3 linked regions of the Caenorhabditis elegans genome follow. The protein of the gene in region 3 purifies or fractionates together with the protein of the main gene of each other region. This does not show direct contact. Each region holds a gene or a part of one and is shown on either strand. Other genes may lie near its edges.

What was found.
Region 1: the proteins of let-363 (region 3) and rict-1 purify together in Caenorhabditis elegans (affinity purification with western blotting; 2 studies listed by BioGRID, with this or other methods). This does not show direct contact.
Region 2: the proteins of let-363 (region 3) and daf-15 purify together in Caenorhabditis elegans (affinity purification with western blotting; 2 studies listed by BioGRID, with this or other methods). This does not show direct contact.

Annotation. Positions count from the first base shown.
Region 1 is NC_003280.10:13,111,866-13,122,506, forward strand, and holds the start of rict-1 (RICTOR_N domain-containing protein), read right to left. Parts: upstream 4,942-10,641; 5' UTR 4,937-4,941; coding exon 4,843-4,936; intron 4,786-4,842; coding exon 4,581-4,785; intron 4,523-4,580; coding exon 4,256-4,522; intron 3,282-4,255; coding exon 3,192-3,281; intron 3,131-3,191; coding exon 2,846-3,130; intron 2,299-2,845; coding exon 2,006-2,298; intron 1,503-2,005; coding exon 1,085-1,502; intron 113-1,084; coding exon 1-112. Other genes in the region: gfm-1 (Elongation factor G, mitochondrial), read left to right, coding at 5,628-5,675, 5,731-5,824, 5,883-6,601, 7,712-8,164, 9,009-9,286, 9,345-10,005.
Region 2 is NC_003282.8:9,382,370-9,392,876, reverse strand, and holds the start of daf-15 (Raptor N-terminal CASPase-like domain-containing protein), read right to left. Parts: upstream 6,670-10,507; coding exon 6,605-6,669; intron 6,428-6,604; exon of another isoform or gene 6,421-6,427; coding exon 6,339-6,420; intron 6,275-6,338; coding exon 6,177-6,274; intron 5,959-6,176; coding exon 5,737-5,958; intron 5,621-5,736; coding exon of another isoform or gene 5,612-5,620; coding exon 5,315-5,611; intron 5,266-5,314; coding exon 5,139-5,265; intron 4,768-5,138; coding exon 4,398-4,767; intron 4,342-4,397; coding exon 4,162-4,341; intron 4,119-4,161; coding exon 3,385-4,118; intron 3,317-3,384; coding exon 2,454-3,316; intron 2,408-2,453; coding exon 2,299-2,407; intron 1,868-2,298; coding exon 1,651-1,867; intron 1,609-1,650; coding exon of another isoform or gene 1,591-1,608; coding exon 1,429-1,590; intron 1,383-1,428; coding exon 1,224-1,382; intron 1,175-1,223; coding exon 643-1,174; intron 160-642; coding exon 1-159. Other genes in the region: nssp-45 (uncharacterized protein), read right to left, coding at 7,278-7,359, 7,582-7,751; C10C5.5 (N-acyl-aliphatic-L-amino acid amidohydrolase), read right to left, coding at 9,762-9,905, 9,962-10,022, 10,069-10,148, 10,191-10,297, 10,346-10,502.
Region 3 is NC_003279.8:5,241,765-5,252,230, forward strand, and holds the start of let-363 (Target of rapamycin homolog), read left to right. Parts: upstream 1-3,978; 5' UTR 3,979-4,016; coding exon 4,017-4,139; intron 4,140-4,194; coding exon 4,195-4,295; intron 4,296-4,348; coding exon 4,349-4,643; intron 4,644-4,687; coding exon 4,688-5,017; intron 5,018-5,066; coding exon 5,067-5,278; intron 5,279-5,322; coding exon 5,323-5,383; intron 5,384-5,433; coding exon 5,434-5,606; intron 5,607-5,745; coding exon 5,746-5,859; intron 5,860-5,905; coding exon 5,906-6,203; intron 6,204-6,810; coding exon 6,811-6,924; intron 6,925-6,973; coding exon 6,974-7,151; intron 7,152-7,587; coding exon 7,588-7,958; intron 7,959-7,969; exon of another isoform or gene 7,970-8,022; coding exon of another isoform or gene 8,023-8,127; intron 8,128-8,187; coding exon of another isoform or gene 8,188-8,673; intron 8,674-8,718; exon of another isoform or gene 8,719-8,773; intron 8,774-9,090; coding exon 9,091-9,234; intron 9,235-9,285; coding exon 9,286-9,900; intron 9,901-10,383; coding exon 10,384-10,466. Other genes in the region: C32E12.4 (Ubiquitin carboxyl-terminal hydrolase), read right to left, coding at 1-111; mrpl-47 (Large ribosomal subunit protein uL29m), read left to right, coding at 2,629-2,723, 2,778-2,942, 2,993-3,098, 3,142-3,263, 3,312-3,528; B0261.5 (uncharacterized protein), read right to left, coding at 8,023-8,127, 8,188-8,673. UniProt on the Caenorhabditis elegans protein: Serine/threonine-protein kinase that regulates the mRNA translation machinery, probably by modulating the activity of translation factors such as eIF-4G and eIF-2. It may have some protein kinase activity instead of lipid kinase activity.

The sequences.
Region 1 (10,641 bases), on a different chromosome or scaffold from region 3:
CGGTGAGAAGAGCATTAGATCCGATTCTTTGAGAACGGTGGATGAGGTGGACGCGGATCGGATCCACGATTGATTTAATTTGTCGAAGCGATTTAGGACAAGCTCGGCGTTCCTGAAAAAAAAAATTGGTTTTATTTTTAAAGGTGGTGTTGTTTTATCGCTTTATTATGGGACTATTCACCTAATCTAGGAAAATGCAAAAAGTATTTTTTTTAATTTTTGCCCCTATTCAAAAATGTGAAAAAAAAACGCATGCATTTTTCGAATTTTTTTTGTATTTTTCGCCATTTTTTGCATTTTTCGAAATTTTTTGACATTTTTAGAAAAAATGCCAAAAAAATGTCGAAAAATGCATGCGTTTTTTAAACATTTTTCTACACAAATGAATAGAGGGAAAATGTATAAAAATACATTTTTGCATTTTTCGTCATCTATTGAATAACCCCATTAGACTCAAAATTATCTGAAAACACCGAGTTTCATATTGAAACTTCTCAAAAAAAAAAAGTTATGACGGCTCAAAAAATGACCAAAAATTAGTTAAAATTTGGAATTTGAGCGACTGGAAACTAACTTTTTTTTTGAAATCACCGTCTAATTTTTGGTATAAAAGTTAATTATCTTGGGTTTTCAACTCGATTTAGGTATTTTTTTCGTCCACGGACTTTAATCTACATAAATCGAGTTGAAAACCAAAGATAATCAACTTATATACCCAAAATTAGACGGTGATTTCAAAAAAAAAGTTAGTTTCCAGCCGCTCAAATTCCAAAATTTTAATTAATATTGGGTCATTTTTGAGCCGGTCGCTATAACATTTTTTAAAGAAAATTTTCATTAAGAAATTCGATATTTTCAGACAATTTCGAGTCTAATGAGGTTATTCATGTGATGATGAAACATGCAAAAATGTATTTTTATACATTTTCCCCTTATTCATGTGTGTAGAAAAATGTTTCAAAAACGCATGCATTTTTCTACATTTTTTTTTGAGACGTTTTCAAGAAATTTCATCATGAAATTGGGTGTTTTCAGACAATTTTAAGTCTAATAAAGCACAAAAAAGTGTATTTTAAATACTAACGTAGCATGTAGGAAAGTGTATTGCTCTGTAGTATTAATATCAAAAGTTCCATTTATAGCCGCCACCGCATGACTTTGGCTCAGCGATTCACAGGCCGATTGCACCAGAGTTGGCATCGAAAGAACCGGAGCTCGATACCCCATAGGTACATGAGATGGAGCTTGTCTCAACATATCAGCCATCAAAAGTGTTGCCTTGAGTCCACTTGATGAGTCGGGCATCGCAAGGATCAGCCTGGCCAGCGAGAGTGGAAGCTGAGCATTGATCAAAACGAATTGGGAAAGAACTCGGAACGCTGCAAGAAGATCGATTGTTGGCTTCCGTCGTTCCGTATCATTTTTCAAGCGAGCATCATTTTGAGCAATTACAAAGTCGTTTTTCAGGTTGCTCTTGAATTTGTCCGGTAGGTGCATTGTTTCTGAAAATAATTTCATTTCCGTTTTTCAAGAAGCCTATGAATACTTGAATACATTTTTTTTTTCGCCAAAATCACGAAAAATTGATTTTTTTGTTTTTAAACGCTTTTTTTGAACAATTTAACGATTTTGAGCATATTTACAAGATAGTTGAGTGTCATTTTTCAAAAAAAAATTGTTTAAAAAATTTTAAAACGGTGTTTTTAGATAACGACAGGTTATTTAGCAGAAAATATACTTTCTGAATTTTCTGAAAAATTTTTTTTAAAGTTTTCTGCATTTTCTGAATTAAAAAATAAAAAATTTCTGAAATTTTTGAATTTAAAAATTTAATGATTTTTTTCTAGCTTTTTTTTGAATACTTTTCAGTAATTTCTGAAAAATTTTTTGAAAACTTTTCTGAATAAAAAAAAATTTCTGAACTTTTTCCAAAACGTTTTCTGCATTTTCTGAAAAAAATTTCGAAAATTCTTCAGGTCATTTCGAGTTTATCCTCCTTACTCACTATAAAATGAGAGAGCTTCTTCCCAAGACTCAAATGTCTTATTGGCATATGGAACATCCACAAATTCACAGCAAAGATCCACAATCGTATCACGAATCCTCACAAGATTATCATTGGCCACCGTACCTAGGCCTAGGTAGTCTAGGAGCCGGAACGGTGAAGATGGACGAATATTTGAGTTGGGGCCAACTGCAGCACATGCGAAGAGCCCCGGCCATGATCGAATGATTCGGAGGAAGGAACACTTGAAATTCTCCAAAAAGTCGTTCATGTGGAAGGCTTCGTTTCTTAAACTTTGAAACTGGTTAGAAAACTATTACGGGGTTAGTCGTGTGATGTAGAAAAATGTCAAAAAAAATTTCGAAAAATGTCGAAAAATGCAAAAACTAACTTTTTAAAAATGTATAAAAAATTTCTAAATTTTCAATGATTTTTTTTTCAAAAAATAAAAAGGGCCGCGAGAAAAATTCAAAAAATTTAAATTTTTAATTTTTTTAAAGATTTTTTTGAATTTTTCTGAAATTTTTAGATTTTTTGCACAAAAATGTCAAAAATGACGTCAGTTTTTTGCGCGGCGGGAATTCAAATTTAATTCGGTCTTTTAATTTTTTGAAAAAATCATTTTAAAAATTTAGAATATTTTTTTAACCATTTTTTTAAATTTATTCTGAAATTTTTAGATTTTTTCGAATTTATTCTGAGATTTTTAGATTTTTCCGCATTTTTTGCATTTTTTGACATTTTTCGAAATTTTTCGACATTTATTTTGAATTTTTTGCATTTTTTCGCATTTTTCTACATCACATGATTAACCCCATATATAGGAATGCTAGAGCTTACGCATTATCATTCGTAAGCATACTTCCTCTTTTCTGGAACAATCCGAATTCCACCAGAGGTGCGAAGATCTGCTCCATCACCAAATCCAAATGCGCTTTGATCCGAATCGTCGGAGAATCAAGCCACGAGATCAGAACATGTGATGCAAGGAGCACAATTCGTCGGCTCATACAAGAAACTCCAGTTAATGCTTTTACAAGCCAATCTGTTCCGGCCATTTCTAGGACTAATAGCGGTTCGGTTAAGCTGAACTCCAGGAAAAGGCCGACGCACGGGAGGGTTAATCTAAAAATTGGAAAATTTATTAATTTTTTTCAACGGGAAATCGAATCCAATCCAGGCTTACTTGTCTTTTCCCGTAGTCTGTTGACCTTCAAATGCTGACAATGCGATGGAGATGATGGGTTGCATGATGGACTTGGGGAATGCATATTTTCTGAAAAAAAAAGAATGCGTATTGCACAGAATATTTGACGCGCAAAATATCTCGTAGCGAAAAACTACAGTAATTCTTGAAATGACTACTGTAGCGTCTGTGTCGATTTACGGGCGATTTTCTCCCGTAAATCGACACAAGCGTTACAGTAGTCATTTCAAGAATTACTGTAGTTTTCGCTAAGAGATATTTTGCGCGTCAAAAGATTTAGGTACATTTCGATGTGCCAACCGAAAAAGAAAACCGATTATTTTTAAATATTCAGTGCAAAATTGAAAAAAAAAATTTTTAACTTTAGATTTTCCCAAAATCTACAGCTTTTTCTAGAATTTTTCAGATTTTTACAGAAAATTTTGTATCATTTTTTTTCAGATTTTCAAGTTTTTTTTTGGAATTTTTCTGGAATTTTTCAAGTTTTTCAAGCTTTTTTAAAATTCATTTTGAAATTTTCAGAGTTTTTTGAATTTATTCTGAAATTTTTCAGGTTTTTCAAGAGTTTTTTAAAAAGATTATTTTGAATTTATTCCGAAATTTTTAGATTTTTTTTGAATTTATTCTAAAATTTTTAGAGTTTATTTTTAACACTTATTCTGAAATTTTTAGAGTTGTTTAAATTTATACTGAAATTTTTAAATTTTTTTAACATTTATTCTAAAATTTTTAAACTTTTAAAAAATTACTTCTGGAGATTTTCAGATTTTTTAAAGTTTTCCACCGAAAATTCTGAGTTTTTACAAAAAAAAATCACAAACACCATTATAAAATCAGATTTTAACGTACAAATGTTCTGCAACTTTTCAGATTTATTCTGCAACGACCAGATTTGATAAAAAATTTATTTAAAATATCTCTTTGGTGATTTCAAAAAATTTAGTTTCCCGCCGCTTGTCAAGCCGGCTAAATTCCAAATTTTACCAAATTTTGTGAATTTTCGATCATTTTTTTCCAGAAAATTGAAGTTAAATTTAGCATACTTTCCGTTTTTCTGCGCCGCCGAGGAGTCTATCAGCTTCTTGAGATTGGATTTCTCGTAGATTTTAAGCATCCAAATAATTAACTTGAAAGCTTCCAATCGTTCCGTTTGATTTTCCATTTGTAAATCAATTGCGCGAACGATAAAAATATCCACGTGAGTTGTAAGGATTACAACTAGATTCCGCTCGTTTATCGTACATTTTCGAACCATATGGAAGCACATTGCACGGATACACGGGTGATCGTCGGGTAGGAATTTTAACACTCTGAAAAATGGGGAATTTTTATTATATGTTAAATCTCAGATTAGTTTTCACAACTTACAACTGACAAATATCCTCAAAAAACTCGTTATCCGTCAGCGATTCCACTGTGGTTTCCAAAATCGTCCTGGAAATTCCATTCAAAAATTCACATTTCTCTTCGTAAGTTGCTTTTGTGTACGAATCGGCGCCTCGGATCAGTTTCTGCACATCTTCACGGGCTCGGAATCTTTCTCGTCGTTTTTCACTGGTTTCGCTTACTTTTTCTGGAAAATTTTAATATTAAAATGCTCATCATAATTCAAGCTGAAAAAAAAACTAACTAGCTCGAGTTTTGACTCTGATGCTCTCCCGGATTTCCTGTATCCTCTGTGTATTGTTTTCGCCTCTGTGATACACTTTTCGACGAGTGTCCATCGCCTGAAAATTGAAATTTTTCATGAAAATAGCGGGGGAAACGAGACAGGACACGGGGAAAAAGTACTGCAATTGATAAGAATAGTGGAATTAGAGAGAGCAGAAAAGTGGTTAAATATGCTCTTTCGCTCGGCCACCGGGTTACTGTAGCTAGCTGCGTAGGAAATAATAGAAATAATATATTTCCGTCGAAAAGAGTATTTAAAAGATTATTTCTTTCAGTTAAAACCCGTTATTTCAACATTATTTAATGATGCAATACCACATTGCTGGTTACAAAGCGTTTTTCAAATTTCCAATAAACAAAAACATGAAATTCTTGGAAAACTCTGCATTTCTCAAGCAACTCGAAATAAATCAATATTAAAACTTGATGATTCTGTTCTTTTCTTTACTAAAAATTGAAAAAACGAACGGAAAACAACGAGAGAGTTCTTTAAAAAATATATAAGAAATATCTGAAAGTCGAGTGAGAAAAACATGTTTTTTTGGAAGAGCGACTGCCCCGAAATGCTAGGCCACGCGTCGCGTACTCCTCTCGGATAACGATTTTATGGCATCATTTTTTGTTAATTAATAAAATTAAACGTTTTAAATGCACTTTTCCAATATTATTTTTATTTTAAAAATTTAAAAATTATTTAAGTGAAAATCTTTGAAAATTTAACATCTAAACTTCAGGTAATACACAATGAGTCCTCTCGGGAGGTTCTCTGCAGTGGCGCAAAGCCGTCGGCAGGTAATTTATTTATTTTTAAATTATTTTAATAGTTTTTTTTAAATGAATTTTTCAGCTAAACAACGTCCTCCGACGATTCGCATCCAACGAAGCGCCGTCGTCCGTCGTCGTACCAGGAGTCCGGCCAATTGAACGAATCAGAAATATTGGTTTGGCGTTTAATCCTAATTTTTGATCAAAATCTTGATTTAAAACACAAATTTCCAGGTATTTCTGCTCATATTGATTCGGGAAAGACGACTGTCACAGAAAGAATCTTGTATTATGCCGGAAGAATCGACTCGATGCACGAAGTTCGCGGAAAAGACGACGTCGGAGCCACAATGGATTTTATGGATCTCGAACGACAGCGGGGGATCACTATTCAGTCGGCGGCTACCTATGTGGATTGGCACGGAACTAATATTAATATTATTGATACACCAGGCCACGTGGATTTCACAGTTGAAGTCGAGCGGGCTCTTCGTGTTCTCGATGGAGCCGTACTTGTTCTGTGCGGAGTTGGAGGTGTCCAGTCGCAAACGTTCACTGTTAATCGTCAACTGGCTCGCTACAATGTTCCGTTCATCTGTTTCGTGAATAAAATGGATCGGAATGGAGCGACTCCTCTGAAAGCTCTAGATGGCCTCCGGAATAAATTGAACCATAACGCGGCGCTCATTCATTTACCAATTGGGAAAGACTCAAATTTCAATGGAATCGTCGATTTGGTAGAAGGACACGCGTTGTATTATGAGGGTGAAGGTGGACTTATTGTGAGAAAGGACGAGATTCCAAAGGATTTGAGGGTGGAAGCAGAAGATAGACGTCAGGAGCTCATTGAGCATATTGCCAATGTTGATGAGACTCTTGGAGAAATGTTCTTGAACGATCAGACGCCAAATGTTCAACAGATTCATGAAGCTATTAGAAGAACTGTTGTCAAGGTTGAATAATTATTAAAGCGCGCTTGCTATCAGATTATTCAGATTTACTCGTGGTGCTAATATGTCCCATTACGGTTTGATCTACAAAAAATGCGGGAATAAAAATGCACAAAACCAAAGAAAAAACATTTTTTATCCACTAAAAATTTCAAAAATCACCAGCTTTTTTCTAGAATTTTTCAAATTTTCTCTGGAAATTTTCTATCGTTTTTTTTTAATTTTCAGAATTGTTAAGATTTTTTTTGTATTTATTCTGATATTGTTAGATTTTTTTTTTTGAAAAAAATCTAAAAATTTCAGAATAAATTCTGAAAAATATAAAAAAATTCAAAAAAATCTTTTAAAAAATTCAGAAAAGTTCAAAAAAATCTAAAAATTCCATTTTTTTTTCCTGGAATTTTTCAGATTTTTAAAAATTTATTCTGAAATTTTTAGATTTTTTAAAAATTTTCTCTGGAAATTTTCTATCGTTTTTTTTTAATTTTCAGAATTGTTAAGATTTTTTTTGAATTTATTCTGAAATTGTTAGATTATTTTTTGACAAAAAATCTAAAAATTTCAGAATAAATTCAGAAAAAATATTAAAAAAATTCAGAAAAATTAAAAAAAATCTTTTAAAAAATTCAGAAAAATTCTAAAAAAAATCTAAAAATTCCATTTTTTTCCCTGGAATTTTTCAGATTTTTTTCGAATTTTTTCTGTAATATGGTTTGACTTTGAAGAAATCAACGAGATTTTTCTTATTTTCTAAATATTTTTCTATTAAAAATCGGTTTTTAACAATTTTTGACCCTAATGTTAAGTCAAAAATGTATTAAAACCGATTTTTTATAGCGAAATATTTAGAAAATAGGAAAAATCCCGTTGATTTCTTCCAGTGGACGAAAACGCTTAATTTTAGTCATTTTAAATTCGATTTTCACTGTTTAACAATAGGTTTTGTTCGCAAAATGCAGAAACAAAAAACAATTTTGAAGCTAAAAATTTGATAATTCTGCCATTTTCAGTGGAAAGACAAAACTCCGCGGATGCAGAATAGCGAAGCGTAGCAAGAGCGTGCATAACAATAAACTTGAACAAAAAATTAATAAAATCAATATTTTGTTCCAGCGTGCATTCGTCCCAGTCCTCTCCGGATCCGCTTTAAAGAACAAAGGAGTTCAAACAATGATCAATTCCGTCGTCAAATACCTTCCAGATCCATCTGAAGTCGTTAACAGAGCCACTGTAAAAACGGAAACCACCGGAGATGAAAAAGGAATCATTCTCTCGCCAAAACGAAACAATGATAAGCCATTCGTCGGGCTTGCCTTCAAGCTGGAAGCAGGAAAGTACGGCCAACTCACCTATTTCCGAGTCTACCAGGGACAATTAAGCAAAGGAGACACTGTTTATGCATCGAGAGACGGTAGAAAAGTACGTGTGCAGAGATTGGTTCGGATGCATGCTGCTGATATGGAAGAGATCACTACTGCTTATGCTGGAGATATTTGTGCGACTTTTGGACTTGACTGCCATTCTGGAGAGACTTTTTCGACGGATCAGAATCTTGCTCCGCATTGTGTAGGTTTTGATGCTTCACTGCAACTTTTTTCGAACGAGGGACGAGGCAAAAAGGTTTCTTGGCCATGGCCGAGTCCCCGACAAATTTCAGCGGCCATTTATCTTGCTTTGTTTTCTGCGTGTTTTATTTCGTTTTTCACCGATTTTTTCCGTTTTTTCTTATCAAAACTAATAAATAAATATTTTTTGCAGATGCTAAAACAATTTCCAAGTGAAAAAATTGTGAATTCAGTCGGCAAGTAGCGGTAAAAGTGGTCAATGTAATATGATGGATTACGGGAATAAAAAACCCAAACTTTTTCCCAAACGTGATACATATGCTGTTTAGATGCTAAAAGTACCTGATTTTCATAACGAGACCGCTGAAAAAGTTTTGAGATTTTCAAAATTCAACTTTTTTTGTGAAAAAGTCGAGATTTTGGCACAAAATGTTGAATTTTGAAAATCTCAAAACTTTTTTAGCTGTCTCGTTATGAAAATCAGGTAGCTTCAGCATTTAAGCAGCATATGTATCATGTTTCAGAAAAAGTTTGGGTTTTGTATAGCCGTAATCCATCATATTACATTGCCCACTTTCACTGCTACTTGCCGACTGAATTCACAATTTTTTCACTTGGAAATTGTTTTAGCATCTGCAAAAAATATTTATTTATTAGTTTTGATATGAAAAAACGGAAAAAATCGGTGAAAAACGAAAGAAAACACGCAGAAAACAAAGCAAAATAAATGGCCGCTGAAATTTGTCGGGGACTCGGCCATGGCCTAGAAACCTTTTTGCCTCGTCCCTCGTTCGAAAAAAGTTGCAGTGCATGCTTTTTGCCTTAATAATATTAAAAATTTCCAGGAATCAATGCACATCCCGGAGCCAGTTATCTCGATGGCCATCAAACCAGTAAACCGAAAAGATGCCGACAATTTTATTAAGGCGCTGACGCGATTCACAAAGGAAGATCCAACATTCCGACGAGAATATAATCAAGAAGCGAAGGAAACGATTGTTTCTGGAATGGGAGAGCTTCATTTGGAAATTTATGCTCAGCGTATGAAGAGTGAATATAATTGTCCTGTGGAGCTGGGAAAACCTACAGTTGCATACAGAGAGTGCTTGGGTAGCCCTTATAAGTGAGTGAAAAAAAACATTTAAAAAAAATATATATATAAATGAAATTTCAAATTGCAGATTCCACTTCCGTCACAAAAAACAAACCGGAGGACAGGGACAATTCGGAGAAATCGAAGGAGTCATTGATCCACTACCATCTGATCGCAATACTGTCGTTGAATTCTCCGACGAGACATTCGGAAACAATATCCCGAAGAATCTGTTCCCGGCTCTCAAGAAGGGTCTCGACGCGATTGTCGCCGAGGGTCCACTTATCAAGTCTAGAATCGCTGGAATTCATGTTCGGATCCAAGATGGTTCAACTCATGCTGTAGACTCCACGGAAATCGCTATGATCAATACAATGCAAAACATGATGCGTGAATCATTCGAAAAAGCGAATTGGCTGCTCCTCGAGCCAATTATGAAAGTAGAAGCTACAGTTCCAACGGAATTCCAGGGAAATGTAGTGACATCACTCACCCAGAGAAATGCACTGATCACCACCACCGATTCGACGGAAGGATACGCGACTGTGATCTGTGAAGCTCCACTGTCGGACATGTTCGGATACACTTCAGAGCTACGATCGTTAACGGAAGGAAAAGGAGAATTCAGTATGGAATATTCAAGATATGCACCTACAACACTGGAAGCTCAAGATCGAGTACAAGCAGAGTGGAGGCAGTTGCATGGAATTGCTGATCCGAATGAGAAGGGAAAGAAGAAGAAGAAGTAGATCTGTTAATTTAGGGTTTTTTCATGTTCTGTAGATTAGTTTTTTTTTACTCTTGTTTTGTTGTTTTCATTCATTTGTTAAGATTTTTAGATCATTCATTAAATTTTTGCGAGCTTTTGTATTTTAATATGAAAAATTCAAAATTCAGAAACACTACAAACAATTGTGATGGATCAGACCTATTGGGCCGTTCCGCAGATCGACAAATTGCCAATTTGCCGGATTTAAAGATTCTTTATTTGAACTATTTGAAATTATTATTAATTAATCGATTTGAAGTTTGAAGTGGTAGGATTATTTCATCGTCAGATATCCTTCGTACCAGCAGTACTGGGCCAAGATCCGAAATTGATCACCTGAAAGTTATTCATATAAGTTTCTATTAACTAGACGTCTAAAAATGAGAATTATCGCCAGAAATGGGTCTCGCCACGAAACGAGTGACTGTAACTCGTTTCGATTTATGGGTCGCTATTGAATCATTTTTTCGAAAAAGCAATTTTCCATTTAATTTATAAGAAAACTGATGGAATAGCGGCGCAAAAATCGACACCAGTAATTTCTACAGTAACCCGTTGTCCGCGTGGCGAGACCCAAAATCCTCAAATTTATTTTTTTTTTTTACGTATTAGCTTC
Region 2 (10,507 bases), on a different chromosome or scaffold from region 3:
ATAACCATTTCTCGTGACATATCGTTAATAAGAATCAATTGAGATACATAAGATGGGCAGAATGGATTTGAAGCAGTCAAATCGAATCTTCGGAAGGAACGAGTATCTGTGTCTTGGCGGATAATTGTCATCAATCGACCATCTGATGCATACATGCACCTGAAATAGTTTCACTATGAATTCCGTTAAATTTAAAGTAGCATGGGGATCTTGCATTCAAAAAAAACCAAAAATATTCTTAATTTCAGTAATACCACGAGAGAAAAACTAAAAAAATCGAGGAAAATTGAAAAATCCAACTATTTGAAAACTCTATTTTTTTTGTGAATTTCCCTGTTTGAATTTCCTCCAGAATAAGGAACCATGCTAACTATCAAGCCAATCAGCGTCTTCGAACTCCGTTCACCTCTGATTGGTTCGAAAGTGTGCTGATTGGTCGCAGTTATCATTCGGTAGGAAATTCAAACAGGGAAGTTAAATAGTCACAATTGAAAATAGAGTTTTCAAAAAGTTGGATTTATCAATTTCCTCGATTTTTTGTTCGTTTTTCTTTTATGGTATTTCATAATTTCAAGCTATTTCGGTTATTTTGCAGGCAAAATCCTCACTGAAAAGCAATATCTGAAAAGTTTAAAATGTTACCTTCTCAGTTTTGAAGTGGTTAGCGATCGAGCAGGATGAGTAAGCTTAACTCTCCAGAGACATTCATCATATTTACAACTCTGGAAGTCTCTTCCCTCAATATCTGCACTTTGCAACATTCCTTCCATTGCATGAATCGCCCAATCACTGATTGTTGTTGTCGTGACAACGACATCCTCTTGGCTTTTCTCTTTCTTTCCTTCTTTTTTGTCTCTTGCTCTTTTCTCTTCATGCATTTTACGATCCTGTTTTTGAATATCTTTGATTTTTTCTCGAAATTGTTCTGGCATAAATTCATCCTCATCTTCATGTTCCCAATCTTCTGATTTTTCTTCGTCAAGTGTGATTACATGAAGAATTGGTTCAACAAATACTTTACTACACCATGCAACGAATTGTGTTGAGACAATTGGATTTTCTATTACAGTTCGTAACGTTTTTGATTCTTCTTTCACTGCAAAATCTCCAGGAACTGCTTTTGTTCGTCGTGGTGTGAACTCCATCAAAGCTGCATCCATGATGTCTGATTTTCCTGTAATTTTACAATTTATATTGAACTTTTACAAACTGGGAAAACATACGAAAAGCTCCTTTGACAGTTTTTCCTGAAGCAGTTGTTGCCCGATCCTTCTCATCGTTGGCTGATTTGTTCTCGTCGTCATCGGAAGAGTCGTCTTTGGAAAAAAGTTCACTGCTTTGTGTTTCATCTGTGAACGAACTACCAGGAGACAACGCGTTTTCTAAAATTATTATAATTGCTATTTGTTTTATCGAATATACACTAACTATGTTGTTGATTTACATCACCAGGGCTTCCAACTTGAAATTTGACTTTTGATTCATCCTGTAACTTCTTGATTTGTCCTCCTTTTCCTCCTTTTCTTTGTTCCTTCGCTTTTTGCATATTTAATTTTGTGAAGTCAATTCCATCGGCAGAGACTCCAGACTCTGGAATCATTTCGACAACTTTTAATAGAATATCAAAAGTTCCGTTCATTTTTCACCTACCTTTTTCAACTTCTAAATTTCGTTTTATTCGTTCTGAAAGTGTGCTAACTTCTTCTGACGGTCCAACTGGTTTACGTGGCATTTCGACAGTCGCCTTCGAATTTTTACGAGCAATCATTTTTCGACTGAGATGAGCCATTGTATTGTCAATGTTGGCTTGCATTTCGGGCATTCCTGCTTCGACGCGATGCACTATTTTTTGAGCCATTCGGGCAACCTGACGAGATGTATTGGTTGTATTACACAGACGAAACATTTTGCGAATTAGGTGACGATAATACTGTATTCGGTCTCGTCACGACAAATTTTTGTTTAACGCAAAAAGGTATGCGCCTTTAAAGAATACAGTAATTTCAAAGTTTCGTCTCTGCTAAATTTTTGTTGTTTTTCGATAAAGCTTTATAAAGCTATATTTATTTATTTTCAAAAAACTTAAATTTTACAATGAACGCACAAAAAATTTAATAAATTGTGAGAAAAACTATAAAAACTCCACAGAAACCAGAGTTTGAAATTACAGTACTCTTTAAAGGCGGATGTCTTTTTTGAAATCGCAATAATTTGCGTATGAGTAATAAGTGGGAATTAAAATATTTACCATTCTAAGAAATTCTTTTTTTTTTCAAAATCTTTTTTTTCAAAATCTACCCTCTCAATAGGATCCAATGACAATATTAAAAGTGACAACCAAGTTTTAGCAACGGCTTCATTGAATGTTTTCGCTTCCAAGTGCTTGATCTGTACTTTTGCTCGTTCTCTGTAAATTTCACTTTTTACAATAAATCAATTTCTATCTTTCTTACCTATACTCAATATCTTCAGATTCTTGTTCAACACGATTTCCAGCTTCATGTGCAATGTGGTAAACATTTCCTATTCCGTCTTCATGCACAGTTTCTTCAACAGCTGTACTGAACACACTTGTCGACATTTTCTTTCGAATAACTGAAGGTTGCATGAATTCGTTGACTGGTGGAGCACGAGGTCGTCGATGATTTGATGGCATTTCTGCAGCAATATCCAATCCTTGTTCACTGAGATTTTCAGAAGAATTTCGTTTTCGTGGAAGTTTGAACTTAATTTGATTCGATAGTTCCAGTAAGAATTTCACGAATCGTTTCTCGAAATCAAACACAAACCATTGAAGAGCAACAATCAGTTCTTCTCTCACAAGAACAGAACTATCAAACACACACTGGGAACATAGTTCTCCTGCTAGATTTTCTTCAACTGCTGATGCATGCTCATTTGATCTCGAAGAGTTCCTCAATAAGCTTCCAAGTGCAAATACAGCAGCTGCACGAACTTCTGCTGATTCATCACTCAATTCCAAAATCATTTTATCATGAGCCATTAATCGAATACCCTGCCATCTGGCTACATCATAATCTGACCACAGACGACCCAATCCAATCAGAATCCACAGTTTCAGCAATTTGACGCTTCTCGCAGTATCATCGACCATCAATTCCGTACAAATTCCCATGTATCCCTTATTGGTGAGCTCTTTCTGTGCCAGTTTGAAATTATTGGATGTTAGCTGAGCAAGTACGAATGCAGCAACAGTTTTCTGTTTCGGTTTGATTTCAGGATCGCCGAGAAGTTGAAGGAAATATTGAAAACGAAGCATTGTCTTCTTTTCTTGTGGCTGTGCATTCGTTGGTTTCTGAAATTTTAATTTAGTTTTTTTCAAAGAAAGCTCCAATTGTGTTCTAATAAAAATTGTGAGTTTACCATAATTCCTTGCGGTTGTCTAGATTGTTGTTGTTGTTGCTGTGATGGTTGCTGTTGTAGTTGTTGTGGTTGCTGTGGTTGTGGTTGTCTAGGCTGAGCATTTGGTGAATGTTGTCCTCCTGATGGATCCATTTGCCTCTGATGAGCTTGTTGTTGAGCATATTGTAATTGCATATCCAATGCCTGATTCTGATTAGTTTGAAATCTTCCGCCAGTTTGAGTATTAATCTGAAGTGCACGTTTATCCATTGTTAATTGTGCAGGTGGTGGATGATTTGCAAACATGGATGATGGTTTCAATGCAACTGATGGTTGTTGTGATTGTGCTGGTGATTGTTGTTGTGTTGCTGATTCATCGATACACTCATTGAATAATTCCATTTGACACGATGGATCTACTGCCAGAATTTTTGCCCAAATAAACGCTAAAGAGATTTTCAAATCACTAATATTGCTTTGAAGTAGCTTCAGAACATATGGAAAGATTCCAACGGCAAGTGAATATCCGATAGCCCATCTACCAAAATCAAGGAATCGTGCAAGTAATCGTAGAGCTCTGACACGATGTGCCTGACTCAGAAGTACTTGAAGAACCATCGGAAGTTGGAGTGGAGGTGTTCCTTCGTCAACACCGTAGTCTAGCCAAAGTTCAAAAGCTTGTAGTTGTTCTGTGAAGAATGTGTTGTACTGGTGGGTCTCATTGTAAGTCAGCACATGTTCGAAGTCAATGAGCACTAAAATATCAGTTTGTGAATAGTCAAATGCATTAAAATATACCTAAAAACGGGAACACATTGCTTCTATTAATAACATCTCTTCCACAAAACAGTGCTCTTTCGCATTCTTTGACATAAATCAATTCTCTACAATAGTCTAGAACCATATCCATTGTTTGATCCCAGCATCTCCATAAATCATGCATTGATGTGTCTTTCAGAGGAGGCTGCGAAACTGGTACTGAAATTCAAAATTTGTTTAGATTTCATTAAACTTTCAGATATTTTATTACTTACAAACATTGAACTTTGACATAACTCTTTGTGCAAGCAAGAAACTTCTGAACAGAGTTGCCAAAAGTAGATCCTGACGGAAAAGTTTTTGGAACGAGTCACGATCTATTGAAGTGAATGCAATTGTGTCAGTGATGGCAGTGAATATCCAGTTGAGCTCTCCGAGCACAGTTCTTCGTTCAGCAAGATTTCCAGGAATCATGTCCAAAATGTTTTCCGGATACTCATCACGATGCTCCGAATGACTCAAATGAAATGCGAGTGATGTTCGGATAGGCGTGGTTAGACAGGAAGTGAATAGATCAGCTGGCAGATGAGGATTCGACATTGGAAGCCATTGACCGGCACTGCATGCTGCTAGATGGATACAATCCTGAAAAATAATTAGGTACGTGAATTCTTGTGCGGAACCAGGGGTACGCGGAAATTATCGACCAGCATTTTTTATAAAATTTAATGATAAAAATAGCAAAAAATTTGATTTATCGGAAAATAGCTTTCACTTTAATTGAAAAACTATTCAAACTATTCAAAAACGCTAAAAACTTTTCTGAAAGCTGAGAATTGCCGAAAATACCGACTAATTATCGAAATTTTCCCGGAAATTCCAACTTTCAAATAATTTTTGAGCACGTTTTCAATCAGTCCAACTGAAATAAAGTATTTTTTCTTTAATTTTTTTTACGCTGACTCATTTTGGAGAATTGCTGGTCGGAAATTTGCTTATAAAGATTCAATTCTTACATTATATCTGGGATATTTCTCTGGAAAACCTAATGCTTCTGCTTGATCAGCATCTGTCATTTTTGATGAGATTGGTGGTAGATTCCTCTGTTCCTCTTGCCATCGATCAAACCTACTTTGCCAGGATCTAAAAATCCATAATTCAGTATGTTCTTAACTTTTGGTATCAAACAAACATTTTCTGATCTTCTCCAAATCGTCGATAGTTATGAAGAATTGTCTCAGCTGAATGAGTTTCCCAGATATAAATTGTGGGATAATCAAGCCATCCTTGTAGATCGAATATTGACAATGGAATATATTGGGTGAAGCTTTTATTAAATACCCAAATTTCTCCATTATCTGTTGGTTTCGGTACACCGTGTCCGTTGTAGTGAAACAGAACTCGATCATTTCCACTGATTCTTCGAAGATTTGTTGCAACTTTTCTCACGTCATCGATAGGCGGATCCGTACAAATTTTATATCGAGTTCTGTAACTCCTTTTGGCTTTAAGATTGCATTTTTGTTAATTTTATTCATTTTTGTAATTTTTAACCGAATTCTAGAGTAGCGTATTTTAGTCCGAAACATTGGAAATATCCGATTCATCTCTTACTTTGATTTTGGTTGCCACTTTTCATAAGCCCTTTGAGTGCTCAATCCGATCTCTATGGCTGCTTTGTGTGCACCACATTTATATGGATCAACCCATGATAAAAGACGAGAAGGAGCATCTTTTCGAGACGGAGCTTCTGGTGGATCGACTCCCAAATGTAGACACATGATGATGGCGACAGATGCAGTTCGGAGGCGATCACTGCCTTTTCGGCGATTTACGCTGAAAATTATTTATTTTAACTTATAATTAATTTCTTGCCGAATGCCCTTTGTTTTCTGAAATCGTTTTGATTTTCCAAATAGTATAGTGCAAAACAGTAAAAATATTTCATATTATTTACTTTTTGTGAGTTTTTCCATTAATTTGCTGTTTTTTTTTTCGTCTTTCGTCACAACAATATTATTTTAATTTTAAAATGATGCTCTAATAAAACAAACCACTCTTCAATACAATCCCACTCATCTTCCATACTTCCTGCGATATCTTCGACATGTCGGGGTTCTTGTAAATATAATGTGACTCTTTCTACATTTCTCTGAAACAAATATATTTTTTTGTTTTTTCTTGAAAAAATTGCATTATTTAATTAAATTTCTCACCTGAGCATGCCACAAATTGACTGTCAAACGTTCTGCAAACGAGGAAAACGGTGTTATACTCCTATCCTCTTCCATTTTGTGTCTGAAACAAAAATTGTTTGCCATGTTATAGTGCGATCATGTGATCTTCACGAAGGAGTGAGCAAGACAAATAAAAAAATCAATAAATTTAATTTTCTTTGGAAACCGAGTTTAAGAAAAAATATTTCGTGCAAAATTGCATTTTTCTTGTCGGCAAAAAGTGCAAAAACCAAATTGAAACTCACGTTGGCAATGAATTTAAAGAAGACGTGATTCGTGCAAGTGCGCTCCGTTGCACTTTTTGTCTCATTTTGGAGGAAACTCAAATGAGAGTTTCACCTTATTTACGGGTTTCGCAACGTTTTCATCATTATACCGAAATTTTAATTAATCCAAATAAGTATTAAAACAATTTTTCGACAATATAATTAAAACAAAATTAAAAAATGGAAACTATTTTCTATATTGGCTGTGATTCAGTGCTGCGTATATACTAGAGCAGATATGAAACAATGCAAATTTCGGAATATCTTAATTTAAAAAAATATTTATTTATTCGAGTCAATTGACTTTGTGGGATGACTCATGCATATTTATTTTCAACTGTCATATATTTTGTCTCGAAACCAGTGAAAAATTACATTTGACTGCACCTAAATTTAACTTACTTTCTAGAATTCGTATTATCTTAACTTTAATTGTATATTTAAAGGTGTTAAAGGTAAATCATGCTGTGAATATCAAAAAAAAATTAATCTCGAAATTCGAGCCGAAATTCCATCTTTCTCTGAACAAAAGTAAATTCATTAACAATGTATTTTATTCAATGATGTTCTGTTGTCACTGTATTTTGAAAATGTTCTCAAACTTGGTTGGTAATTAAAGATGGAAACAATTATGAATGGAGTAGTTAACGATTCAAGCCTTTGGATACATTCGACGCATACATCCAGGTCCATGGCAGCCAAGAAATTCTGTGCAAACACAACCAGGTGGAGCTCTGGAATTTAAATAGTTATTGTAACTAGCAAATTTAGAATTAAAGGAGACATTCCCAAAAAAGTTTAATGTTTTCAACTTCTAGTTGAACTCATCATTAATAATATTGAATACACATATTTTACCAGTTAAACAGTTTTTATAATAAAATCAAGTTCATGTGCTAACAATGAAAATACAATACATTAAAAACTAATGAAATAATGCGAACTCAAATCAAAACCTCTTTCCAAGATCCGGTGTGATAGATGCAGCGGATGAAGAAATCGGACGATATCTCGGGTAACGAGCCATGTTTGAGCTGAATAGGAAATCAAGTGGATCCACTGCCACTGTTGTTGCACAGAGCAGAAGGAAAACCGTTGGAAGCAAGATTTTCGATGAGAACAGCATCTGAAATTCTAGAAAGATTTCGAAAGAAAATGCATATGTTATGTTGAAAAACAGAGAAGTGGTAATGGGAAATTAAAATAAAGATATACAAGAATGAAGTTCCAATATGTCAAAAAAAAAGAAGATCCCATTATCCCATTTTATATATCCCATTTGTTTGTCCGAATGACCGTATTTTTTCCTTAAGACAATAAAAATATGTGTCAAATGTTTATTTTGTAATTTCATAGTTGAACATTTTTTATAATTCCAAAGATATATAAGATATGAGCTGTAAAGCAGTAAGGAACTAATAGGAAATATATTGTGTGCTTTTATTATTCTATCAAAAACGCTCTCAATTTCTCTACAAGCAAGAAATTGAAACATTTACCAATTTTACAAAATTTTGTAAAGAGACATTTTTGAATGGCTTTCTTGTTAAGCTACATTGACGGAGTTTCGACGGTAATAAAACATATCTAATGTCGGCTAAACATGAATTTCTGCTGTTAACTTGATCATATAATCAGATTTAACAGTAAAATGTTAACTAGATAATGCAGGTGTAACATAATTCTATCAAATGTAACATAGCTCGTTGAATACTGTATTCGTTCTCTGTTTCTAAATAATATGTTAATAGTAAGAAATGAACTCCCATTTGAAGGTTTTATTAATAAATGGTACACTTCAATTGTTTCCAAAAGTGATAATGGAGCAAAACTCGACCGTTTTGGAAATTCCACTTTGAAAAAAAAAACAAGATTTTGTGAGGTTTTTCAATAAACTCAATAATCCGCAATCAAAAACATCCTTGAGCCAAGTGTAAATAAATAAGAAAAGTGACAAAAACCGTAACAAAATAGTAAAAGTCGCCAAGTTTCTAGAAATATCACAAATGTTTTCATCGTTCATTGCACATGAACAAATAGCAACTCAAAATATATCAAATGTGACAAATGAGAAATTGTCACGAGATCATTTATAAATGAAAAAGAATGTAAAATGAAGCTTCTAGTGCTTTTGTCACTTCCTTTCAAGATATTGACTCCTGGAATATATACATCATCCCATTTGTTTTTATTCGAAAGAAAAGCACATAATTTAACAATGCGATAGGAATACCAATTTTCATGAACCAAATAGTCATGGTGGTCCCGTCCCAATGAAAGGAAAAACGTAATAAGAAAAAACAAAAATATAATGGAAGATGTCTGTAATTGAGATGAGTTCAGACTGCAAATGTATAAATAATCAAAAAGTTTTAGAAAAGATAGTGATATCAGGACTTGTTAAAAAATTTCAAATTATTAAATTTTGAAATTGCTCTAATTCTTAGAAGTTTTGTCAACTGGAATTTTCACATGAGAATATGTTAGTTCATAATAATATCATATGAAAAATAATGGGTATAAATCTGAATGCCCATGGGAAAAGTTTTATATCGCTATAGAAACCTGGTTAAATAAAAGTATTCTATTTAACAAATCTGATGATTATTGATAATTTTACCTATTAAATGCACACAGCTGGTCTCACCTCGATTCAAAAATTTTATTATCTATAATCTAGTAAAATTGGCTTGTGACTGAATATGGGGGCGTCCTGATTTAAAAAAAAAAAGAGACTTTTCAAGCTGTTAAAAGAGGTTTGAGGAAAAAACCTACGAGTTTAAAAGAAAATACCGAAGACATATCGGTTTTATAGTAATTTCTGAACAATTTATCACTTGACATTAGCCAGATAGTCAAACAACATCAATTTTCACACTTGTAATTAGCATTTGTAGGTTATATTTTTCTAAAATATGATATCATATGCCTAAATTACATTTTTCTCGCAAAAATTTAAATGTTAATTTTTTTCTTTCAAACACATTATGCAGTTTTTGAAAATGGGTATTCTGCAATCTGAATATGTTGAGAACCGTTGCAACAAGCAGAAAATTATTTTACTAGTTTGTAGAATTGATATACAAACATTTTTATTTATACAGAACATTTAAAAAATACTTTAAAAATTGAATTATTAGACATTGCCCAAGTTGTTGATGATTGTTTGATAAATCTCGAGACCTCTCAAAAATACTTTCTCATTTAAATATTCATTGTGATCGTGTGGAAGAAACGGTGTGTTGATCATTGGGGAAAAGTTAATGGAATTTACTCCTTCCTGAAATAGTAGATCAACTGAATGTCAATTTGAAACTAGCCAATTTTATCACTTACATATCTCACAAATCTTGAATCTGTTGATGCAACCATTATCCCTTTTTCAAATTTGCAGTTTCTGAAATATTATTATTCAAATTATGTCCGTTAAAAAATTAACTAACTCTTGATTCAAACTGTCCTCAAATGCAGCCCAGAATGAATTATCTCGAGTATGTGCAGATATTGGTTTTTGGTCAGAATACTGAAATAGAGCCTTGATTGATTTTTTGTTTCAGAACCTTACTTGGGAAAATTCATAGGTGACACCTTCTCCGGCATTCTTTGCCCATTGATCCAACATTTCACGTATTTTATTAAAATCTTCATGAGGTGTCAATCTCATATCAACATCTTAAAATTATATTTTACATCTATAGGCTGAATGAAAACATTACTTACAAGCTTCAAACTTTTCAGGAATCACATTGAACTGAACTCCACCATTTACAATATTCACGTTCAAAGTCGTAACATCTCCCAGTGTTAAATTTGGATTACTCTCCAATACAACTTTTTGTTCGTTGCGAAATTTTCTGGCACTGGCTAGGAACCGCTCCTAGA
Region 3 (10,466 bases):
ATATGAACTGATTCTGGGTGTATAGTCACTATTCGAAAGACCACCACTTCGAATAACTGAACTTGCTCGATTTGTAGAAGCAAATGGATCGTATGATGTTGCTCTTGGCATTCTTGTTGTTGTTTTTGTAGTTGAAGGAAGATCTCGAGACTGAAATGTTTCAAAATATGCAACCTTTAAAATTTTAAAACGAATTATCGCGTTACAATTTATGTTTGAAAAAATATCAGCTTCATAACGTTTGAAAACTATTTCAGATTGGCATTTTGGCAATTTTAAAATCACAAAAAAACTTCCAAATTTTTTTTTAACTCGATAAATGCTATATGATAAAAGGTGAGAAAACAAAAAATAAGACGTTTTCTGAGAATGCGGGAGCCAACTGAGATTCTTTGAGTCATGGGAGGAACATCAGGTGATTGACAACTTTATCGGCTCTTTTCTTCTGCCAAACCACTGCCACAACATGAGAATGCAGTAAACATGTGGGCATGTTTTCAGTGGCTCTCATAGCTTGACATTTTTCAGAAATTTCATAATTTGCAATTTTTCAACGTAGTTTTGACTGTCAAATTGTGTATTTTTATCTAATTTTTAAAATTAATTTTCAAAATATGTTTGAAAATGTCGTATTTCAATTAAGATACGAAAGTTCCTAGATAATTTTTGACATAAAATAACCTAATTTCAATAACATACACGCCCCCTTTCAACTCCATAACATGTTCGATATGGTGCAGGATCTCTTGATGAAGATGTTGTTGATCGCCTCTCAACACTTCCACTTCTGTATCGTAAACTGGAACTTTCTCTACTTGAATATGACATTTGTCTGAAACTTGGTTAGAGTCAAAACTTTGGAAAATTTACAAATTTTCGTAAAATTTCTGAGAAACTCAGAGTTTTCTTGCATGTTCGAAGTGCAAAAATGTCAAATGTCAAAATATGAATAAGAGATGAAAATCAAGCGCAAAGTCAGGTTTTCAAACATCAATCTTTTTGAACGTTATTTGTTTAATCAAACTGTATAAACTTCAAGAAACTTTCTAGAAAAAAGAATGAAATAACGGCAAACCGGATATTTGTGGCATTATTTTTGCTTGAGTTGGATTTCAAGCAAAAATCTTCAATCATTTTCTAGCACGTCAAGTAAAAAGTAAAGCTTTCAAGCTTTTGCACCTCCTGATACGAATAATGAAAACATCATTAATATTTTAAACCTGCAGAAAAAATGGTTTTCCTGGTCGACTCTCAAAACTATGACCGATGAAAACTAAGTAATATCCACTTTATGGTGGTAAATAAACATATTTCAGATTACGCTCAAAAATATTTTATGACATTTGACAATTTGAGGATTATTAAAGTAATTTTAGCATTTTCCCCACTATACCATCTTTAATAAAAGAAAACTCAGTTTTCAATGTGATAAAGTGATATAAGAAGAATTGAACTAAAGGTGAGGGAGTATAAGAAACGAAATGAAATTGTCTTCTTTATCTTCCTGTCTCCTCCAGAACACTTTCCCTATCTTTTCAATTCATTTTGTGGTGCTCAGTGAGCATTAGTGCGATGTACAATCTTCAGAGACACAGAGACAAGACACAGGAAGGGGTTACAACCGCAATGAGCAAAATGTTTCGGACATTACTTCAAGATTGAAAGACGACACCTGACACAACACGACCTCTTAATGATAATATTGTTCAAAAAAAAAACTATTGGCATTTCAAAATGTACGATTCGACGATGGAATATCTTGTTCACACACTTTTATATATACCAGCCGTTCGCACACGCAAAGCGCGTGCTCCGACTGGCGTACGCTAAATTGTTTTAATGAATTTTAAAGTGCTAATGTAGCATTTTTGTACAGTTATACATTCTCCTGGAGTTTTGCGGACTTTCAAGAAAATTCTACAACTTTCCAGGTTTTTCTTTAAAAAATTCCCAGAACTTTTTAGAAAATTCTAGAACTTTTCGGATTTCTTCAAATTTTAAGCGCTTCCAGAATTTAATAATATAATTTTTCTAGGTGCTACAAGCTTCCAGTTTAATCAAAAAAACTGACCTCCAGGCATATAAATGACCGCATTTTTTATTGGGAGATTTATTTAGTTTTCGTAATTTCAAAAATTAATATCTGACTTAAATTGAACTTTTTTGAAAATGTTTCTTCGGGGACTTGTTTCAAATTTTAAGCGCTTTCAAAATTTAATAACAAAATTTTTCTAGGTGCCAGAAGCTTCCAGTTTAATCAAAAAAACTGACCTCCAGGCATATAAATGACCGCATTTATTTATTGGGAGATTAACTAAGTTTTCATAATTTCAAAAATTAATATCTGACTTAAAATGAACTTTTTTGTCGAAGAATTTTTTCAAGAAATAATTACTTGAAGTTAATTCAATGTTTTACTGAAAACCCATGTTAAAAGTATTAAAACTTGCTATTGAAATTTTATCTAGAAAAAACTATTTTTTGAATTACCTCTGCTATGGGGGAGGCAATTGTGCGGTGGAGCGCACTTGCCGCCCATTTATTATTTTTTGGCAGCAAGGTTTTCTCCAAAATATTCTATTTTTTAATGTTTTCTTTTGTTTTTATTGAATATTTTGCTCTTTATATATGCAAAATTTTGATTTTACCAATTTTCATTCTTTGAGGTTCTTCAAATCTACAATGTGGCGTAGTTTACCGAGTTTGGTGTCTTCGGCTGTTCGGTTAGTTGATAAATCGAAGTTTGTTGAATTCCAGTTAATTTTTGCTTCTTTTAGATCACAAAATGCCGTCAACACACGATTTTCCAGTACAATGAAACAATTTTTCGATGATGAAGCGAATTTTGGAAAAGCAGAGCTCCGCCCGAAACATCGGCCGGGCAGATCGTGGACAGCAGAAGAACTGAGATTAAAAAGCAATTCAGATTTGCATAAGCTTTGGTAATTTAATGGCAATTCGGTTTTAAATTTATTAAAAATTTAAATTTAAGGTATGTGTGCTTGAAGGAGCGAAATATGCTGATAACGATGAAAAAAGCGCACACTTCACGTGCCCGGAACATGCCAAACCCAGAGAGACTTGATCGTGTTCATGAGGTATATTTTAAAAATTTAATAAATGCAAAATGATATATTTCAGACAATGGATCGTATAGAATCAGTAGTTCACGAGCGAAATGATGCGGTCTTCCGTTTGGAAACTGGAGAATCCGCGGCTCCACGCAAGAGAACAATCACTTCATTCGCTGGATTTACATATCAGTGAGTTCCTGATAAAATTAATTTTTTTAAAATAAAAATATGTTCCAGAAAACAAGCCACAGAACACTTTGCACCACCTCAACTCGGCCAGAAAGAATACGAAACTCCATATCTCGACGACGATGCCTACGTGATGCAGAAGCTTTGGCAGGAAAAAGAATTCATGAAAAATCGAGATAGATTGGATGATGAGAAGAGACGAGCGGCACGAACAGAAGACATGGACAGATTCAAGAGAGGAGCTCCACGAGTTTTCAATCGATAAAAAGTTGTTTCTAGATATTTTTTTTGTTTTCGAGTAGGCTTTTAAAAATGTTGTTTGCTTTGCTTCCTTCCTCAGTTTATTTAGTTTTTCAAAGAATATCCATTGTTCTTTTTTCTTGATATTTTGAAATATGCAACGGGTTTTGTCAGCCCATAGTTATCTGATATTACAAAAGGCTCCGTGTTGTTCTCATATTTTTCATTGAAAATCCCTTGATTTACATAGGAAAAAAAACCTAATTTTTAGCTGAAAAAAATTTAAAAAGTGGTAAAAAATTACCTGAAAGTTGTCTATTATCGAACTATCAAGCTATATTTTTCTGAAAACGGCCAGTTTTGAGCACTTTCTTGATTATTTCAGCTGGAAATAATTTTATTTTCGGAAAAAAACCAGTGATTTTCTATGCTTCTGATCATTCTCATAACTTTTTATTCTTAACGTAATTTTAAGCCCACAATGCACTAAATCGGCAGAAACATCTTTGAAAAATGCTCCAACAACACGGAATTAGTTTTCAAATGAATGCCGATAGACAGAACAAAGCAGCCACAACTTCCAATCGAATAGTCTCCGCTCCAGCTACAAATGAATTTGACGAGCGGCATCGTAAAGTTAGTATTTCTTCTCCTTTAAACAATTTTTAAGGAAAAAAAAATCATATTTCAGCAAGGGATTGATGCTGCAAGAGCTCTTGCTTCACAATATCGGAGCCGAATTACGGAAAATAGAGATGCAAATCAACGACAGGCTGCTCGAGAACTCAGCAGGTAGTTTTTTTTTTAAATAAAAGTCAATAAATTAAATATATTATTTTCCTCAGATATGTTCGAAGTGAGCTGAAAGACGAGCCAAATACTTTTAGTGATGCTTTCCTGAATGCAATCGATGGACGAACAGATATAGCCTCTCAGAGTGCAATTTATAATTGTATGAAGTCGAATTCAAATATCGATCAGAAACGAGCCGGTATCTATCTCATCGTGTGCTTAGCTGAAACTCATTCTGGAAATGTTATTCGATATGCGAATTATCTTCTGAAAATGTTAAATAATGGAAATGGATTAGATGAAGATACAGTCAAGATGGCTTCAAAAGCTCTCGCTTTTCTGATTGCGGTAAGTAATTTAATTTTTTTTAAACCAATTTTAAACATTTGCAGACTTGTAAATCATACGCGGCCGAGCTGGTTGATCGTTGTCTTGATCATTGCCACGAATGGCTTGGTCAAAATGTTCCACATAGTCAGCAACCCAAAAATCAACAGGAAATTGATCAAATTCGTCGACTCGCCGCTTCACACCTCTCTCGTGAGCTCGCACTGGCCACACCGACAGCATTCTTTCTTCGTGTAAACTTATTTTTCAAGTATATCTTCAACGCTGTCAGAGACAAGAATCCAGCTGTAAGAATCGCCGGAATTGATGCATTACACGTGGTTTTGACAATTGTTTCACAGCGTGAAGCAAAGAATAAAACTGAGTGGTTTAAGGTGATCAATTAAAATTTTGATCTTTCGTTAGAATGATTTTATATTCCAGAAATGTTTCGATGAAGCACTGGAAGGTCAACCAAACCCATCGCAAAAGGACGATTTGGATAGATGGCATGCCGTCGCCCTGATTCTCAATGAACTTCTTCGAATTTCTGATCAACGATTCGAACTCATCAGATGTGAATCCTCACAGTTTATTAAACAAAAGTTTTTGAAAGAAGACGAAGAAGAAGGTGTTGAATGGCTTGTCCTAACTAAGTAATCGATTCTTTTTCATCTATTTAAAAACTTGTATTTTTAAGGCAACAAACTATTGTGGAAAGTGTGACTGCTCGAAAGCTGGTTTTGGAACGATTTCCGAAGGTAAAAGCTGAAATTCTTCATTTCCCGAAATTTGTTATGTTTTTTTCCAGATACTCGATTGTGTTCGTCAGATAATACCTCTCGCAAACAAAACTTCATCCACGAAACAGCAAAGCTCGATTTACCTGAATACAGTTCTCATGCAGCTTCTACCAAGAATTTGTGCATTTCCACAATGTGATCGAACTTTTCAAACAATCTCATTCGACACTTCATTTACTATGTACGTAGAATGGAAGAGGACTGATGTTTATGGGCTTTTAGCTTTTATAGACTCGAAATGCGCTAAAAACGAATTTTGTAACGAGACTCAAAAAAAATTATGGTGATTCAAAATTTCCAATAATGTTCAATTTTTTCAGTCTTCAAAGAAATGCGGTCGCTGCTCCAGCAATCGGAATGATGATGCTCTCGAATCCAGATGTACATGCCACACATATCGAGAAAACAATCAGTTTTATCTCTGCTGCTATCAAGTAAATTTGAAATTAGTACACTTTTTTTAATAGTTAAATTTTGTAGAAAAACGACGAATTCTGATGTTCTCGATAATTATTTCACATTCCTGTTCCTATTTGTGGATGCTTATCACGAACAAGTGACGACACAAATCAAGGCAATAATTCCACAATTAATGGATATTACCCTGTCTCGATCGCTGGCAAACGTGCTAAAAATGATTATGATGAGAATTCCGAAACTGCGGCTGAATGTTCAAGATGGTGTTATGGCTTCTGTCTATCAAACACTCACTGGATCTCTAATTCCACCAAAATCCGAACCGATTGGAAGGCCTGCGAGTCCTAAAGCTATTTTGCAGGTTTGTTTCGTAGAGAAATTTTATAATTTTGCTCGAAGTAATTTTTTTGAATCTGAAAAGCACATAACATTTTTTAAATAAAGATCAGAATCCCATCAGATTTAAAAACGCTTACAATTTTATCTTTTTTGAAATAATTTTCCGTCAAAGTTTCGACATTTTTCTATATTCGAACCAAGGGCGTCGTTAAAAATTTGTATGATTTTTCGCTTTTTTCAGATATGTTCGAAAAACAAAAGACAGAGAAGCTATAAATTTATCGAAATTATCTTTTGAAAAATAGAGAAATGACCAGAAATTTTTCGAAATTTTTGATTTTTGTTTCCAGAAATCGTAAATTTAAAAGCCGAAAAATCGAAAAAAAAACCTAAACTTTGCGGGGTTTTCAAATATTTTCATAATCAGCAAAATAAGAAAATAGAAATGGCGACTTTTTAAAATTTAAATTTTTCGAACAGATTTCCTATGATATTTTATCATGTTAGCATTAACAATGGTTTTAAATATATTTCTCATTGGCGATATTTCTGTTGTGCAAAGAAGTAAATTCAAAAAATCTCAAATGAGAGTTTTGGGGTTGTATTTATGCAAAAGATTTATATTTCAGAAAGCAGAAACCGATCCAAAAGAGCTTCAACGAATCGTGCTGGCTGTCGATGTGCTCGGTGAATTCTATTTCTCAAGAGGTGCCTTGCAGAGAATCATGCAATACGTTGCAGATGTACGTTCGAAAGTTTTCTCGATTTTTCTGTAATTTTGTGGTTTTTCAGTACTACTTGACAGCGGACAATGTGGAAATCCGTTTGGCTGCTGTCTCTTCGTGTTGTGAAATGGTCGTACCATTTGTTGGAGTTTATAAAAAAGTTACAAGTGACAAGAGAAATAGTCTTCTTCAAACTATTTATGGTGTGCTGCGAGCTGTTTGTTCGGTTATTGTTAATGATCAAGGTAGGTATTTACTCGAAACTACGGTAACTGGTCGAAACGAGAATTAACCGCCTTTAAATAGCACTGTAATTTTAAAGTTTTATTTTTTTCGAAAATCGATAAACGAAAAAAATTGAATTTTCAATAATTCTTCTAGTCATCTCAATATTTTGGATTCATCATTTTTCGAAAAATCTATTTTTTTATTGTCTCGTCCGAACATCTCTCAATTTTTCTCGATTCTCAAAAAATGACAATTTCCCTATGATTTTCTGGAAAAAAGTCGGAAAATTTTAATGAAAATTCCGTAGCAACAAAAGTTTGAAATTACAGTACTCCTTAAAGGCGCATACCTTTTTCTATTAAAACAATTGTCGTGTCGAGACCGGGTACAGTACTAATGGCGCAAAATTGTGCTCCTGATCAAATATTCAAAAATGTTTTTAATTTATTTCAGATGTCCGTGTCAGAATGCAAGTAATCAGCTGTTTCGGACAAATGCCACGGCCATTCCTTGCTCATTTGGCTCAACCCGAAATGCTCGAAGTACAATTTATGGCTCTTCACGACGAAAAACTCGAAATGCAGCAAGCATGTGTGACGTTACTCGGACGACTCGCAGAGCTCAATCCGGCACTTGTTTTGCCACGTCTTCGATTGATGCTCCTAGAGACATTGAGTCAAATGCAACAAAGTGGTCAGGCAAGATTGGAGCAACATTCTGCGAAAATGATCGCGCAATTGGCGAAACAGAGTCCAAAGTTCATGAGACCATACGTTGGAAGTTTAATGATTGCTATGATTCCAAAATTGAGAAATGATCAAAAAGTTAGTTTTTTTTTGTATAAAAAAAATTTATTCCAAAATATTTTCCACAAAAAAGCTAAGAGGTCTATTTCGGAGCAGCTTCTGCGATTTTCCTGAGATCATCAGCTGACAAGTCACCCAGTTTTTCGTAGCCACCGTCCGCTCCGTCTGATCCATCATTAGGTTTGGCCTAAACAAAAAAATTTATAGAAAGATGAATTACGGTATCAAGTTAATTAAAATTTCCTACATTAGAAGCAATCTTTGATGGTTCACGAACTGTATGCATCATGGTATTGGCTCGAATTGCAGTGTGCATGCAGGAATCATCTGTATTTTTCGAGTTTTTTATCACAACTTCCTGTGTCTCCTGTGTTCGAGGACTCTTCTTATTCGCCTTCTTCTTCCGCTTATCCGATGCCTTCTTCTCCATTTTCAGTCCATCTTGTTTCTGTGCCTTCAGTGATCTCTGCTTGCTTTTCTTATCACTCAAATTCTTATTATTTTCTCCTAAAGTTGGAAGTTTTCCAGGCTTTGAAACATCCACAACAGCATCTTTTGATCCTCTTTTAGAATTTGTTTTCTCTTGACTAATCGTCGTTGAAGTGACTGTTGACACTTTTGATGGCTTCTTCTTACTCTGTGATGGTTTCTTTTTTAGACATCCAATTACAAAAAAGATGAGGAAAATAATTGGAAGGACAACAGTGATTGTACAACGGAATAATAATAGCATCTGAAAAAATAATATATTTTGAATTCAAAACTGTTGAAAACTCACTTCTTTTCCAAAATTGATCAAATGAAATTGTCACTCTGGATTATTAAAATATTTAAAAATCTAAATAATCGTCTTTGATAATTTCTGACAGCTTTTTTTCTACACGTCGATTAAATATTTTTTAAGATTTCTTTTAAATACATTTTTCAAAGCGTAAAAGAGACAGAAAATGTAATTTTTCTAAAAATTCACGATTTTTCGGTTTTCTTACGACTGCATAATAAGATTTTTGAAAAACTGAAAGGAAATTTTTTCTTTTTTTGTCTGAAAAATACCGAAAAAAATTATTTTGGCTAAAAAGAACTGATAGTTATACAAAATTTTACAAATGTGGTTCTTTTCGAACTTTTCAATAAAATTCACAAATTACAGTATGCCGAAGTGACTGCCCAAGTTCTGAATGCTGTCAGCGAAATCGCCGTGATTGGTGGAGCCGAAATAGTAAAAAATTTGAAGCCATTGTTCGAAAAGTTGACACATATGATAAATGATTCGAGCAGCTTGCATAAACGAGAGGTGAGAGTAAATTAGAAAATTTAGAAATTTAGAATTAATTTTTAATTTCAGGCGGCTCTCCGTGCAATTGGTGGAATATGTCGTTCAACTGCATATGTTGTGGATCCATATCGAGACTATCCAAGTCTACTTGATGATCTTCTTCGAATCCTGAAAACTGTCATGTCAAATACAATGAGACGAGAAGCTATCAAAACTCTCGGAATTCTTGGAGCAATCGATCCATATACTCATAAAGTATTCACTGGCTCAGTACAAAGCTCGACAGCTATAAGCACAGCCTTATCACTTCCAATCTCTGAAACTGATTCAAAAGATCCACGTCAAGACATTATTCATTGGTTTAACTATGAAAAATGTACATTAGAAGAGTTTTATCCAGCGATTACGATTGCAAATTTGATGTTAATGATGCAAGACGAAGATTCGCAGAGCTACGCGGAAATTGCTCAAGCTATAGTAACAATCTTCAGAAGTCTTGGTGATATGGCACCATTGTATACAGAACAAGTCATTCCAAGGCTAATAGAAGTTTGTCGGCGAGCAACTGAATCATCAAATCGAGCCAATTTGAGAGAGTTCTTTCTTCAACAATTGGCAAATTTCGTGGCAATTATAAGAAAGCACGCGGCACCGTATATGCCAGCTATTTTCACGATTATCGCGGTTCGTAACAAGACTGCGTGACAAATGTTTCGGCAAAGTACAAAACTGTCAATTTAAATATGACAATCTAGCTTTTTGATGAAAAACTTTTAAAAAAACTAATGTAGGAAAATTTTCGTTTAATCTGAAAATAATAATCTTTTGAAAATTCATATTTTCAACCAAAGTAAGTATTATTGAACAATAATTTTCCTACATTTCTATAATTATTTTTAACTGAAAAGTTGGATTATCATCAAGGGTGTCATCGAAAAATTTTAGATTTTTGTTTTTTTTTCATTTAAATTTTTTTTTCTACAGAAAAGAAGAAGACCAAAATTCAGCTATTCTCCGAATTATCGGAAAATCTAAAATTTTTAAGATTTTTCGATTTTGATTTTAAAAAAATTGAAAACGACTCCTTTGATTATCATATTGACAGTTTTGTACGTTTGCGAAAAATATAAATTTAGAAAAATATATTTTATTTCCTTTTTCTTCCAGGATGCTTGGAAAGAGGATATATCCGTCAAAATGGTGGTCATTGAAGTTCTCACTGATATGGGAACTGCCATTGGAAACGATTT